Diceros bicornis minor: one gene and its partner. The protein of the gene in region 2 purifies or fractionates together with the protein of the main gene of each other region. This does not show direct contact. Links are inferred from orthologs where the notes say so. Each region holds a gene or a part of one and is shown on either strand. Other genes may lie near its edges.

Evidence for each region.
Region 1: the proteins of LATS2 (region 2) and AJUBA purify together in Homo sapiens (affinity purification with western blotting; 3 studies listed by BioGRID and IntAct, with this or other methods). This does not show direct contact. The link is inferred for Diceros bicornis minor from reciprocal best matches to the Homo sapiens genes LATS2 and AJUBA.

The regions. Positions count from the first base shown.
Region 1 is NC_080744.1:24,763,251-24,770,495, forward strand, and holds the start of AJUBA (LIM domain-containing protein ajuba), read left to right. Parts: upstream 1-3,956; 5' UTR 3,957-4,390; coding exon 4,391-5,426; intron 5,427-7,245.
Region 2 is NC_080748.1:5,593,772-5,601,527, forward strand, and holds the start of LATS2 (serine/threonine-protein kinase LATS2), read right to left. Parts: upstream 3,007-7,756; 5' UTR 2,840-3,006; intron 1-2,839. UniProt on the Homo sapiens protein: Negative regulator of YAP1 in the Hippo signaling pathway that plays a pivotal role in organ size control and tumor suppression by restricting proliferation and promoting apoptosis.

The DNA of each region.
Region 1 (7,245 bases), on a different chromosome or scaffold from region 2:
CTAGGGTAATACTGCCACCTGGTGGGCAGTTTTAGTCATGGGCTTGATTCTTCTGAGCAGAACACGGGCTCCGTCCCTATTTGGGAATTGGGATATAGATATAATAGCTATTGTTTATTGAATTATATAAGGCAGATTTTATTATTCCCGTATTACACATGAGGAAATTAAAGCTTAAAGAGTTGTATGTCTCACCAGCAGCTGCTCTCCCGCTGTGTGACCAAGCAGTCTACAGGGCCTTGTAGCTATTTCTTAGTCCTGTCAGCCAAGCTGTATTTTGAGCTGCATACACGTGCGCACACACACACGTACACAAAATTTGTGCATTTTGAATGGATTGAGAAGTAAAAATGGCTCTCCATTCAGTCTACAACAAATATTGATTGCTTACTAGGTGTCAGGTACTGTGCAAGGTACTATGGTACCTTGTACAGTGTACAAGGTACACTGTTGATCAGGTCAGAGGTTGACTACACTATTGTGTAGTCGGGAAGCCAGGCAAGCCAGGCATTTAAGCAGGCAATGAAATGACTTGTGATAAGGGTCATGCTGGGGGAGCAACGGCAGTATACAGCAAGGGTAGTTAACCTACTCTGGCAGTCTGGAAAGGCTTCTCAGAGAGTGGAGTTCAAACCGATACCTGAAAGAAGGGGAAGAGTTAACCAGAAGGGAAGGGAGGCCAGGAGAGTGTTCCAAACACAGGGAACAGCAAGTACAAAAGTCCAGGGGCAAGAGAGAGCACATACAAGGTGCAATTCTACTGGAGAACAGTTGGAGGAGGGGATGGTGTTGAGAGAAGAGGCTGGAAAGGTAGAAAGACCTTGTAAAATATCATAAAGAGTATAGACTTTAGTTCAAGGGCAGTGAGAAATCATTGAAAGGTTTTATAGCAGGGAAACAAGATGATCAGTTTTGTGTTTTAGAAGAATCACTTGACCTCAGGGTCTAAGATGGATTGAGGGAGAAAAGCCTCGGCAGGGAGACTTTTGCAGTGGTTCAGGAGAGAAAAGATGGTGGCTTGATAGATATCATGGTGATAAGGGGAGGAGAGATTTGAAAGATATTTAGGAAGCAGGATTGATAGGACTTGGTTGGATATGAGGTTAAGGGAGGAGGACATAAGGTTGATGTTCAGGTTTCTGGCTTAAGCGCCTAATTGGTTAATGGTGCAATTTACTCAGGGAATGCTGGAGGAGCCAGTTTCGGGAGGCAGGGAAGGTGGTCAGTATGCCTTTGAGGCAACCAAGTGGAGATGCTAGTAGTCAGCACCCTGCCTGGTCTTTTTGTGCCATCCTCTCTGGCTCTCTATCAGACAATGCTCTGCTGCTATTCACAGGGTTTTCATGGCTGATTTTTTTGGAAGTGGGTGGCCAAGTCCTTCTTCCTAGTCTGTCTTAGTCTGGAAGCTCCACTGAAACCTGTCCACCTCGGTGGCACAGCTTTCAGCATCACACAGCCACCGCAGTATAACAACTGACAGACGGGTGGTGTGGATCCATGACTGGGAAACAAACCTGGGCTGCAGCCATGAGAGCATAGACTTTTAACCACTAGACCAGCAGGGCTGGCTGAATTCAAGTCCTGGGGGTGGAGAATAGGGCCTGTGGAGCTCCCGCCTCCAGTTCAGACAGTGGAGTGGTTACCCCCAGTTCGTGGGCACTGCTCCAGCATGCCCTATCAGTGCACCTGTCTCCCCCTGCACTTGTCTTTGCTTCCTGCTATCCCCTGAAAACACAGGTTTTCAATCCCAACTGTGCCCACTGCTGCCACCACCAACTCCTGGATGGGCCTCCTTTAATGGCCTCTCAACTTTTCACAAGATTTACTCTCCCATCCTCACCCCAAAGGAGCAAAGCTTCCAAATATTAGAGGCTGTGTGGATATTTTGGATGTAAGGAATTGGAAAGAAGAATCCAGGTTCTCCTTCCCCATCTGGAGACAGGAAAGGAGGGAGAGTCTTATGGTTAATTTTGAAGATGTTGCTCACAGTGGGTTCTAGATACAACCTGATAGCTCTCCTCTGTTACTAATGCTTTCGGTGCTCCCTGCCTCCAGTCCAATAGTAAACTCTTCTCTGGATCAGAGCAAAGCTGTAGGCCTGACCAGGGAAACAGGCTGACTCTCAGGAGAGATGAGGTCAGGGTGACAATGCAGCTAGGACAAAGAACCAAATAGTGTGTGCCAAATTAATTTCCCCAAAGATGTTAACCTCCTTTCCTTCCCCATTCCCTAAGGCTACAAGAAGATTATAAAAGGTGTTCAAATGTTGAGATGAAAATAATATGCATGATTTGTTTGCATATAATTTTCATACTCATTTACTATCTAAATACAAAGGAGTCATTTTCCTTCTCCATTCTACTTCCTCAGCCCCTGGCCCCTGACGTGCTAGTCTGGGCAAAGTCAGCTGGCTGGTATTTAATCAGGTTTGTTCAGCTTCAGCCACAGTTTCTTCTTTTCCTTATTCTTCTTCTTTTTTTTTAATTTTGCTTTTATTTATTCATTCATTCATTCAGGGAGGAAGATCAGCCCGGAGCTAACATCCAATGCCAATCCTCCTCTTTTTGTGGAGGAAGATTGGCCCTGGGCTAACATCAGTGCCCATCTTCCTCTCCTTTGTATGGGATGTGGCCACAGCATGGCTTGACAAGTGGTGCCTCTGTGTGCCCCGAGGATCGGAACCTGTGACCCCTCTGGCCGCTGAAGCAGAATGCGTGCGCTTCACTGCTAGGCCACAGGGCTGGCCTTCTTTTCCTTACTCTTTATCCTTTTTCTTTCGCCCCCAACCCCAGTAGATAGTTGTATGTCATAGCTGCACATCCTTCTAGTTGCTGTATATGAGACACCACCTCAGCATGGCCGGAGAAGCTGTGCATTGGTGAGCGCCCAGGGTCTGAACCCAGGCCACCAGTAGTGGAGCACAGGCACTGAACCGCTAAGCCACAGGCCGGCCCTCTTTATCCTTTTAGTATGGCCAAGATCAGCCTCTTTTCTTCTTCCACCCTGATCATTTTCACTTGCTATCTCCTCTAAATGACATTTCTTTTCTTCCTCTTAAATTAATCTTAAATTACTCTTCATCACCAATCTCCTGTAGGCCAACAAAGCAGGAGGCTAGCGTTCCCTAGCCCTAAAACCAGGCCTTTTATCCCCATAGTCACCTGAAATATTTGCTAAACATCTCACTTCCCAACACCAGGGGGTGTCTGTCTATCCCTCTATCTGTCCCACCCTGAAGGTAGAGATTAGTCCCAAACCTTTTCCTCACTCCTTTTACATAGACGCTAAAGCTCCCTTTCTCCCTCCCACCCATCACAGAGCTTTGGGTTCAGAAAATGGTTTCTTTTTAATTGCAGTTTATCTGTTTGTCTCTCATTCTCTCTGGACTTGCATATATTTGTCTTTTTCTTACTATTCATCCTTCTGTCTCCACACCACCCACGACCCCTTTTGCTGGGGCTCTCCCTTTCTTTCGCTACCTGTCTTCCATCACGTCTCTGTAGGGGCTTCCTCGCCTGTCTGGGCTCTTTATGTACACGTCTCTGAACCTCTTTATGTACGTACCTTTCTTCTTGCTCCCTGTCTTCCTTTTTATGGATCTCTCCCTCTCTCACTACTTCTGTATCAGTCTTTCTCCATCTCTCCCACAGTCCCCACACTAAGAACAAAGTCACAGTATTTGCGGAGAACAAGCCTCGCGTCGCCCCGTCCAGGACTGCGACATTCCACCGTGCCCCTCCGCGCCCCTGCGCGCATTCCAACTGCAAACAAAGAGTTCCCCTCTCCCACCCCACTTTTTCCTGCCCCAATTCTTGAGTAACGTAGCGGCAGCTGCCCAAACTGCTCCTCGCCCTCCTCTCGCCTCCAGTCGCAGGATCTCCACCTCCAGGGCAGTTAGCACCAGCACCAGCACCACCACCCCACGCCACCCCCTCCCACTGCCTGGCGCACCAGAGATCCCTGCGCAGACACCCCCGTTCCTCTCGCACTCGGCGCTCCGCCCTCCAGGAAAGTAGATCCGGCCAGGCAGACAAAAGTTTGGGAGAGAAGTTGGGTCGGTGCTGAGTGTGAGTGCGAGGGGGGCGGGGGCCGGCGAGAGTGGGTCTGCCCAGCGAGTCGACGCGTGAACAGATAGACCTGCGGACGGGACAGTCGCGGCCGCAGGAGCTTCTAGCCCCGCTTAACCCCTGATGCGCGGGGGGCCGCAGCTTCTCTCGCTGGGGGATGCTGCGAGATTCTTGGCGCCGGGCATCCGGGCCGCCCGCTAAACCCGTGTGCCTACTCTGTGCCCCTGGCGAACCGGAGTCCGGCCGCAGGGAAAGAGAAGCGGCCACTGAGACGCTGCAGGGTGCCGGGCGGGGAGGGGGCTGGAGGCCCCAGGCCCGAGGGCATGGAGCGATTAGGAGAGAAAGCCAGTCGCCTGCTGGAGAAGTTAAGGCTCTCGGACTCCGGCAGCGCCAAGTTCGGCCGCAGAAAGGGTGAATCTAGCCGGTCTGGGTCTGATGGGACCCCTGGGCCGGGCAAGGGGCGACTGAGTGGGCTGGGGGGACCTAGGAAATCTGGGCCCCGTGGAGCTACTGGAGGACCTGGGGATGAGCCGTTGGAGCCAACCCGGGAGCAAGGCCCCCTGGACGCAGAGCGGAACCCGCGCGGCTCCTTTGAGGCGCAGCGCTACGAAGGCTCCTTCCCCGGGGGGCCGCCTCCCAACCGGGCCTTGCCTCTACCTCAGTCATTGCCCCCCGACTTTCGGCTGGAGACTACGGCCCCAGCCCTAAGCCCTCGCTCCAGTTTCGCCAGTAGCTCAGCCAGCGACGCGAGCAAGCCGTCCAGCCCCCGGTGCAGCCTGCTGCTGGACGGGGCGGGGGCTGGCGGAGCCGGAGGTAGCCGACCCTGCAGCAATCGTACCAGCGGCATCAGCATGGGCTACGACCAGCGCCACGGCAGTCCCTTGCCCGCCGGGCCATGCCTGTTTGGCCCACCCCTGCCCGGGGCTCCGGCGGGCTATTCCCCTGGAGGGGTGCCGTCCGCCTACCCGGAGCTCCACGCTGCCCTGGACCGACTGTGCGCTCATCGGCCCGCGGGGTTCGGCTGCCAGGAAAGCCGCCACTCGTATCCCCCGGCCCTAGGCAGCCCCGGAGCTCTAGCCGGGGCCGGAATGGGAGCCGCAGGGCCCTTGGAGAGACGAGGGGCGCAACCCGGACGACACTCAGTGACCGGCTACGGGGACTGCGCCGCGGGCGCCCGATACCAGGATGAGCTAACAGCGTTGCTGCGCCTGACGGTGGGCACGGGTGGACGAGAAGCCGGCGCCCGCGGGGAACCGTCGGGGATTGAGCCGTCGGGTCTGGAGGAGCTGCCGGGTCCGTTCGTTCCAGAGGTCGCCCGGGCCCGAATGCGGGAGCCGGAGGCCAGAGAGGACTACTTCGGTGAGTGAGAGAAGTGGTTAGGGACGGGAAGGGACCCGCCACCGCATTCGGTTCCGCACTGCCCCGACAGCCCAAATGGCCGGCGCCGGGAGATCGGAGGCGGAGACGCGGGGCTAGAAAAGAGGCAAGAGGGATTTCCCCTTCCCACTGGGTTTCAGATGAACCAGGGGCTCCTTATTCTCGCTAAATTCAAGCCCCCTGATTATCTCCGAAGTCCCAGTTCCTCAAGCTTTAGAGCCTCGGTTTTTCGCGGTAGGAGGCCTCATAGGGAGGGGACCAAGTGGGGCAATGAGAGCATCCCCCATCTTGCAGGCGGCGGTGCCCCTGCAGGCTTCTGCGCACCGCGCCCCCACCCGGGCCTAGGCTCCGCCCGCAGGAATTCGGGGAATGCGCGGGAGGAGGGGCGGGGCGGGCAGGCCGCGTGCGTGCCGGCTCCTGCCCCGGCGCTCCAGGTGCCCGCGGGCGGGGCCGGCTGCGCGGCGCTGGGGAGAAGGGTGGGGTGCGGGGCGAGGCGGGGGGCCTGCTTCCTAACCCGCGCGGAACTGTGGCCGCGGTGGGGGAAGTGGATCCTGGGGAAGGAGGATGAAGTCGCCTGGGACTGAAAACAGGGACCCTACTGCTGGCTCGCCCCAGTCCTGCTGGCTCGGTGCATGCGTGGGCATTTTATCGGAGACCTGGTGGTGTCAGCTTCTTTTTTCCCCATTCTCCGGAAGTCAGAGCAGAAGCCACGACCACCGGGACATCATCACCCCTGGATGGATAACGACCATAGGGTCGTAACTGCCAGAAGTACCTGGCTTTCAGTTCTGGCCATAACCTACTTAGCATTCAGGCTAGTCTAGCTCCTTACTTTCTGCTGCTGTTAAGGAAACCTGGTAATTGTCTCTCCCCCATGCGGTTACCTTTAAGAAGTATTCATTGATTATATGTTTTAGCTGGGGGGGATACTGGGGTGTCAACGATCTTTTAGCCAAGACCCACAGGACCACTTCACTATATAAAGAAATGCTAGTCTGATTGTGATAGGAAGAACAGAAGTAGAAGGCTCACCCCTAGGGCTGTGGGCCCCTTCGGTTTTCCAAGCATCTCCTTCTCACCTTTCTCACCATCCTTGTTACTGCCCTGGACCCCATGCTCTAAACCTCTGTGGCTATAAGCTTGAGTAGGGAGAGGAACCTAGCTATAAACATGAGTAGGGAGGAGATTCAGAGGCATCAGGGGAAGGAACCTGCTTAGTTTAACCCCAACCCTTCCACCTTTTCCCCCCTACCCTGAGAGAGGAAAGCCCACAGCAGGTAATGCTTTGGTCAAGGGAGACTAAGTGCCAGGATCCTTTTAGCAGTTTCCTTTTGAGGCCCAGGAGAAGTAGCTGTTGGATGGAAAGAAGTCTCCTTGGCTAAGCCATCAGAGCCAAAAGGAAGAAAGGAGCTCAGAGAGAGTGCAATAAAATGGCAGGAAGAACCTAGGTGTGGATATGCTGGGTTAGAGGAGGTTAGGTGGCCATGCCTGAGCAGTTTGCTTTTGTCTTCCCATAATCACCAAGGCTTCCCAAAAAAATAGCTCTGACAGGGCCCCCTGGCATGGCAATTTTGGGGCAGATCTCCCCTCCCATGGAGGCCACATTTTGACCCCAGAGGTGGGGGACTCCTCTCCGGGGGGTCAGATTGCCTTCTCTGACAGAACCCTCCTCCTGACTGTACCCTCCTACTCCTGCCCCTAGTAGGGGCCCTTTTCCTTGGCTACAGCCTTGCCCAGCTGCCAGAGGGTGGGAGCAGGACAGGCCTGGGCCCATCAGTTGCTGCAGCTGCTGCACGGGCTC
Region 2 (7,756 bases):
ATTCCTATGAACGTCAAATACTGGCACATGAACAAAAAGTATTTAACTTAAAAAAAAATCACTTGTTACAGGTAGGTTGACACAGTCTAGATGGTAAGCAACATAAAGTTTTCATATAGTGAATGAGAACATTAAGCAGTGTAAAATTTCCATTCTAATTTTAGCATCATAACCATTATCTCTATTTCCAACATTATTTTAATAATACTTTCAAAATGAAACTGTAAATCAAATAACATTAGCCTTAAAAGTACTGAAAGAACAGCTGACTAATACTTAGTGAAACTAGTGGCCCAAGCAGGCCACCGACAAACTTCGGGAGCAATTCACAGGTGCTCTGTGTGAGGAAGCTCCACCTCCCAGAGCTCATCCACTCCGCATACAATGGGAATGGTGACCCCCTGGACTCATGCAAGGCCCAGTTCTATCCAGAGGAATTACTAAGCAACAGGCTTTTTAAAAAGGAAGATTATGAGAATTTTTTGAGCTGGAAGTCAGTCACTTCAGGGATTATCAAGACCAATCTCTTCATTCTGTTTATCAGGATATTTTGATCCTTTTTAGAGCAGAATTACATTTAAGACAAAATAAATGCACTAAATTTATCTTCTGTATGTCTTCAAGCCCACTATTTTTAAAAAGTCAGTAAGGAATATTATTTAGAAGTTTCACATTATTATAACCATGAAATAAAATATAAAAGCAGCTTTTCAAAAACTGTGTTGGTCTGGTTTTTCCAATACAAAGCAGAACAGCTCCAAAGCTTCCCCAAATCCTTCCTTCGTGTTCATGGTTAATTTATCAGCTTCAACACCTCCCCTACCTCTCCACCCCCCTACAATGGGATTTAGGAGCCTAGGACTGGCTATTCACAACACAGCATTTAAAATAACAAGGCTTCTTATTGTAAAAACATTCCCCTCCCACCAAAGGGAAGTCCCTCCCACCAACCCTGTGATTTGCTAAGGAAAGAAAGAAATATGTACAGCTCCAATTTACACTTCAGTCAAAACTTTCAAAACAGATGGAGAGGCTAAAAGAATCCCTTCAATTCTAAAATTCCGTGATTCTAGTAATTCATTCACCTCAATAATTTCGCATGACATCTTCTGTTCGGATGCCACTTTAAATTGCTTGACATGTTGAGATCTATTAAATGTACAGCAATTTTAATTTCAAGGGAATGCTGTCATATTCATTAAACAGTGCTCTATATACCTGGATAATGAGACCAAATTTTATGAGATGCTGAATAACAGCGTCTTGTTAATTATAATTCAAAACAGACCTTCTTAAATAGTCTCTGCATTCTTCTTTTGGAAGATTTTTCTGTTACCACCTTACTACAACAGTTGCTAAACAAAAAGCTTAGAAGATACCAAGCAACTTAGTATTTTGATTTAGCACTCAAAAATGGTAATCCATCACACAGGGATTTAAGCTGAGAATCAACAAAAAATATGGAGCAAGATCTATTTAGTACAAATTCCCTAATAATAAGCCGCGAGTTACTTTCTCCATTACTAAGGGAAGGCCCCTCATCTACTAAGTCAAAATTTAAACAGAACACCTGTACGAAGATCACACACATTTTGTCTTTCCATTCAAATTTCAGTATATTCAAGTTTCTTAGTAAAATGTGGGCAATCTTTCCTTTAAAAATGTACATATTTGCTGAATACATTGGGAAGAGAGCTGATGGGCCACTGAATTTTTACTTGCCAAGTGTATACTCCCTGGTTTAATAGCCAAGGTTAAATAATTTTTAAAAGTCTAGATGACTATTACATTAAGAACACTCTCACTTATATTCTACATAGGTGTGAAAATGTAAAAGTTGTTGTTTAAAATTTTGTCAACATAAAATCTACAAATAAAGTGTACTTTTCACGGTTATGCTTGCAAAGACTACTTCTCATTCGAGGGCCTCAGAACATGCTGCCGGCAGCCCAGGACACCCGTGACACCGCCGTCCGGTGCGTTTTACCTTCTTTGGGGGTATGCCTTCCCCTTCCCCCACCCCCAGGGCACCGGGGACTTGGAATCCACAAACGAAAGGTCTGCTCCGAGCTGGCACTCCTGCCCGACCCCAGGCCAGGCTTCACCCGGAGGCAGACGCTCGTCCTGAAGTTCCGAAGTAAGGCTGGAGCAGAAGTGATTGCCAAAATGCGAATTTTATCGGAATCTGCATCTCCCGAGTCCGGCCGCGGAACTAACTACAAGTAAAGTTGCATCAGAAAAGACAACCTCCAGAAAAGTCGGCTAGACTGGGGCGCAGGACGGGCACGTTATGCAACGGCCGCCGCTCTCACGGCCACGAATGCGCCCCTGGAAGCCCGGGCTTCGACCCGCGAGGACCTGGAGGCCAACACGGAGACGCCGGGGCGGGCCCGGCTTCCCCGCCGCCCGAGGGGACACAGCGGCGCGGCCTCCGTGGGGACACGACGCCGCGGCCAGTCGGGTACGACGGGGCGGCCTCCGTGGAAGGCGGGGCGGCCAGGCGCGGGACCCCGGCGCTGTCAGGGCCGCCCGCTGGCACCGCGGAGGCCGGGCACTCGGGTAGAAGCCCGGCTCCCGGGACGGTGGAGGCGCGGGCGCCCCCCGCTCGCCGCCCCCGGCCCCCAGCGCACAACAAAGCGGCGCACCCTGCCGCCCGGCGCTCGCCCCCAGCCTCCCGGCCCGCGCGAGCCGGCTCGGCGGACTCCGGACGGCCCGCGACGACGCGCCGCCGGCGGGGGCGGCTCTGGGCCCAGGACGGGCGGGGGCCGTGGGGGCAGGGCGCAGAGCTCCGGTCCTGACAAACTTCCTTGGCCGCCCGCTCCCGCCCCTGCCCCTTCACCTCCTGGGGCGCGGTCTACACGCTCCGGGGCGTCCTCGCCTGTGGCTCCGGGGCCTCGCGCGCCGGGGGACCGGGCGCCGGTGGCTGGAGCTGCTGCTGGCCCCGCAGGGACAGGGGAGCCCCGGGCGGCGGCGGCGCGGGCGGCGGCTGCTCCATCTTCCCGGGGCGCTCACGCCGCTGTTCCAACGCGCAGACCCAAGTGGGACATTCGCTACATTGTTGGCATTCCACGGGCGTCACGTGACCCCGCCTCCCGCGTCACTCTCGGCCGCATACCAGCCCGGGCGGGGCGCCTGCGGCCCTTGCCGCTCGGCGGCCGGCTCGCTCCGCCCGGCCGCCGCTTCCTGCCTCCAGGTCGCGGCCGCCCGCGCCCGTCGCCACCTGCCCGCGGCCTCCCCGCCTCCTCCTACGGACCTTTTTGCCAGTTTGTCACCCGGCCCCAACTCCAGTATTGCCCCCTCGACTGGACTTGTATTAAAAGTTGGTAACTCTGTCTTACAGCCACTTTTTTCTTAAGCATCTCACACCAGCCTTGGTGAAGAAAGTAAGTTAACAGGCTTGAAGGAGCCACCAAGTTACCAAATAGGTGCCGAAAAGGGCAGACAGCTAGCCGTGAGTCATGGAAAGACGTCAAATATACACCCAAATTCAATCGGTTTTAATTTAATCAACCCCCAGTGCTGTGTATATTTTGTTTATGAGAAGTGTTTTATGGTATACAGAACAGTATAAGAATGTATACCAACAAGAGAGATTTTGGTTTTTGCGTTTCAACCGCTGACTGTCTTTCCATTTGGGGGCTATGGATTTGGTACAAGGACGTATGCAGGGACTGTGCAGAGATGTGAGTAGAAATAACAGACTGGAAGCCAAATCTTTAATCTACTTCTGGCTGTCCGTCTAACGTCATACTTCCTACCGCCTACAGTCTGTGGTAGATGATGAGGAGGACTAACATCGATTTAAAAGCCAACCTAATTTCCTTTTTAATTAATAAACTCCTGTGAAATTTTTAAATTTTAATCTGGAAAGAAACAGTAAATAAGGTCATTATCTCCGGACTGTTTTAACAACCTTACCTGTCCCTGGTCTGCCATCTTCTCCTCCTTCCTTTCTAAATCCCACCCAGGTTTTTAGCCCTGACTTTGCCTTGGCTCTTCCAGGGAATCTTCTCAGATCTCCCTCCTGTTTTCTCTCTTCTTTGAGCTCTGGTAATTAAACCATTATTGTGCAGTTTGGAATTCAATTTACTTTTTCAGTCGTATCCTGTGCTCAACCCAGACATGTTGCGCAGTATAAATCTCCAGCAGATATTCTGTAACTGAGTCCCCCTTGCACTCAGCTGTGTACCTTTTCCCTTATACACTGCCCATACTTTCTGCACCCAAGCCCCAAGCCGCAGGGCTGGCTACCAGTCTTCCTTTGTGTGTGTTTAAAGATCTTGCCCTTGCTCTGTCTTCAAAGATCTGAACATAATTAAATAAAACATTTTTGTCAAGTGAAATATTGTAAATAAGAGGAATTTAATGGACTTTAAAATTTATGTGTAAACACCTAATAAAATTTTGTAATTACAACAACCATTACAGCATTGTTTGCAATAGTGAAAAATCAGGAAGAACTTAAATGTCCAGCAATAGGGAATAATAGGAAAATAGATGGTAGATATTCAAATGATGAAATATATAAAATAGCTAAGTGAATGAACTAACTAGCTCTGTACTTTTCAAAGAAAAAATGAGTGTAGACAGAATTCAAAACCATTGTAGAGTAGAAAAAAGAAAGTTGCATAACTATATATACACTATGATGCCATATTTATATATAAACAAAACCCCGCAGAACCTATACTAATCCTATACTTTATATAAGTAGAGACATGGACTACAAAAGTACACACCAAATTCATGACAGCTGTTGCCTGTGTAGAAGGAAGGAGAGAAATTAGACTGAGGAGAGAAAGAGTTCAGCTTTATCTGCAATGCTTTTTTTTTTATTTAAAGAAGTGAAGCAAAACTGTCAAAATCTTAAAATTTGTTGATTCTGGGTGATTAGGTTCAATAATGTGTGTTGTGTTATTCTTTGTGCCTTTTTTTAAAACATCTTTTTAAATTTTTCAAATATATATGTATGAAACAAATTGGAAACAAGTAAATTTCCAATTAGAGGCTTGCCTGGGGAAAATGTGACACACTTATTTAGGAGAATATTATGATTAATGATTGTGTTTATTGTTATTGGGATATGTGTTTATTGACATGGAGTCATTCATTCCTTTGAGTTGTTTTATTTTTTGAGTATCTGTTATGAGCCGTGGGCTAAACCAGACACTAGGGACAAAACCACAAGACTTATCCCCTGGTGGAGCTAACAGTCTTGTAGATGTGTTCAAGAAGAAAAGCAAATGACAAAATAGAGTATAGCATCTAATTTTGTGAAACAATGTCAGTATATATATATTTATATATTTTAAAAATATATTAATAATATATTATAAATTATATAATACTATATAATATAAAATATTATATATTTTAAAGTCCAGAAAAGTATGCAGCCAAATGTTAAAAATGGTGGTCTCTAGGGGCCGGCCCGGTGGTGTAGTGGTTAAGTTTGCACCACTTCAGGCAGCCTGGGGTTCACAGGTTCAGATCCCAGGTGTGGAGCTACATACCACTCTCATTAAGCCATGCTGTGGCGGCATCTCACATATGAAGTAGAGGAAGATGGGCACGGATGTTAGCCCAGGACCCATCTTCCTCAGCTAAAAGAAGAGGATTGGCAACAGATGTTAGTTCAGGGCTAATCTTCCTCACCAAAACAAAAAAAAGTGGTAGTCTCTGGATATAGTCATTCTGGGTGATTTTTGTCTTATAATTCCTGATATTCCTAAATAGGATAGTTAGCAACAAAAACTATGTCTAAATTAAGTAATCAGCTAAATGAGTACATTCACGTAATGCATCCAGCTGAGAAGGGGAGAAAAGAGAGAAATAACACAAGGCCAGATGAGCACAAAGCCTGTAGCAGTGGCAATGTTGCAGTGTATAAATTAATTGATTAACATAGTATGTTTATATATGCGTATGTGTTTGTGTGTCCTTACAACCAAGTGTTGCCCTAAACTTGTGTATTATCTCATTTAATCCTCTAGACAACCATGTTATCAACCCCATTTTATAGAAAAGGACCCTATAACACAGAGAACCCAAGTAACTCACTCAAGATCAAAGAGCTGGGATTTGAACCTTGGTAGATCTGACTCCAGAGCTAGGCAACACTGAATTATAAGGCTCTCTTCAGGTAATCTCAAAAAGTCATGATTACAGTGTACTTATAAATAAGGAAACTGAAACAAAATTAACTCCCCTATAGTTTGTTTGAGGGAAGAGGAATGGCTTTTGTGGAGTGAGGAAGAGTGGAGCTCAAAGACATGTGTCTCCAGCACCAACCAGAGAAAAAAGAGGCTGTGGGCTGCAGGCACAGGGAGTCTACTCACCAATGAGGCCCCTGCAGTTGTGGGGCCCGGATGTTTTAGCAGTTCTCACTGAGGCCCCTAGGGAATATCACCCTAAGACTACCTACCACGCCCCACTTCCCCGCCAAGCTGTGAATGCAAGAAACCTGATTATGGCTCATACCTTAGTGCCTGGAAAACAGGCTCTGGTCTCTAGACACAATTTTTGTCATTTTGGAAAGAAAAAGCCTCCTTTTTTATAATCTGTGGGGGAGACTTAGCAAATCTGCCTAACTACAGAAGAATGTTCTCTAAGGGGAGTAGTGAAAAAATAGACTAGAGGGGCTGGCCTGGTAGTGTAGTGGTTCAGCGTGCATGTTCCGCTGCTGGTGGCCCGAGTCCGATCCTGGGTGCGCACCGATGCCCTGCTTGTCAGGCCATGCTGTGGTGGCGTCCCATATAAAGTGGAGGAAGATGGGCACAGGTGTTAGCCCAGGGCCAGTCTTCCTCAGCAAAAAGAGGAGGATTGGCATAGATGTTAGCTCAGAGCTGATCTTCCTCACACACACAAAAAAGTAGAGTAGAGTCAGGATATGAAAGGCCTAGAAAACCAGGAAGAAGATGTGCTGCACTGATTTTTTTGTTTTATACTCATATATTTTGTCTTCTTAATTAGATTATAAATTCCACAAGAATGGGGACCATATTCTCCCCCCAAAACTATATATAAAGAACTTTGTAGTGAGCTAGATGAAAGACTAGAAGAAATCACCCAAGCTGAACAGGTAAAAGAAAAAAGGATTAAAAAGAGTGAGGACAGTCTAAGGGACCTCTGAGACAACATCAAGTGCACTAACATCCGTGTTATAGGTGTCCCAGAAGGAGAAGAGTGAGACAAAGGGGCAGAGAATCTATTTGAAGAAATAATAGATGAAAACTTCCCTAACCTAAGGAAGGACACAGACATCCAGGTACAGGAAGCACAGAGAGCACCAAACAAGATAAACCCAAAGAGGCCCCCACCAAGACACATCATAATTAAAATGTCCAGGATTAAAGATAAAGAGAGAATTCTAAAAGCCACAAGAGAAAGACAAGTTACATACAAAGGAAACCCCATAAAGTTATCAGCTGACTTCTCAGCAGAAACCTTACAGACTAGAAGATAGTGGCATGATATATTTAAAGTGCTGAAAGGAAAAAACTTACAGCCAAGAATACTCTACCTGGCAAGGTTATCATTCAAAATGGAAGGAGAAATAAAAAGTTTCCCAGACAAGCAAAAATTAAAGGAGTTTGTCACCAAGAAACCAGTGTTACAAGAAATGCTAAAGGGACTTATTTAAGGGGAAAAGAGAAGACCACAAATAGGAAAAATTATCTATTTCCATGATAAGAATGTAATGGATACAAATGCACAAAAAAGAGGTTAGATATGATACCAAAAACATAAAATGTGG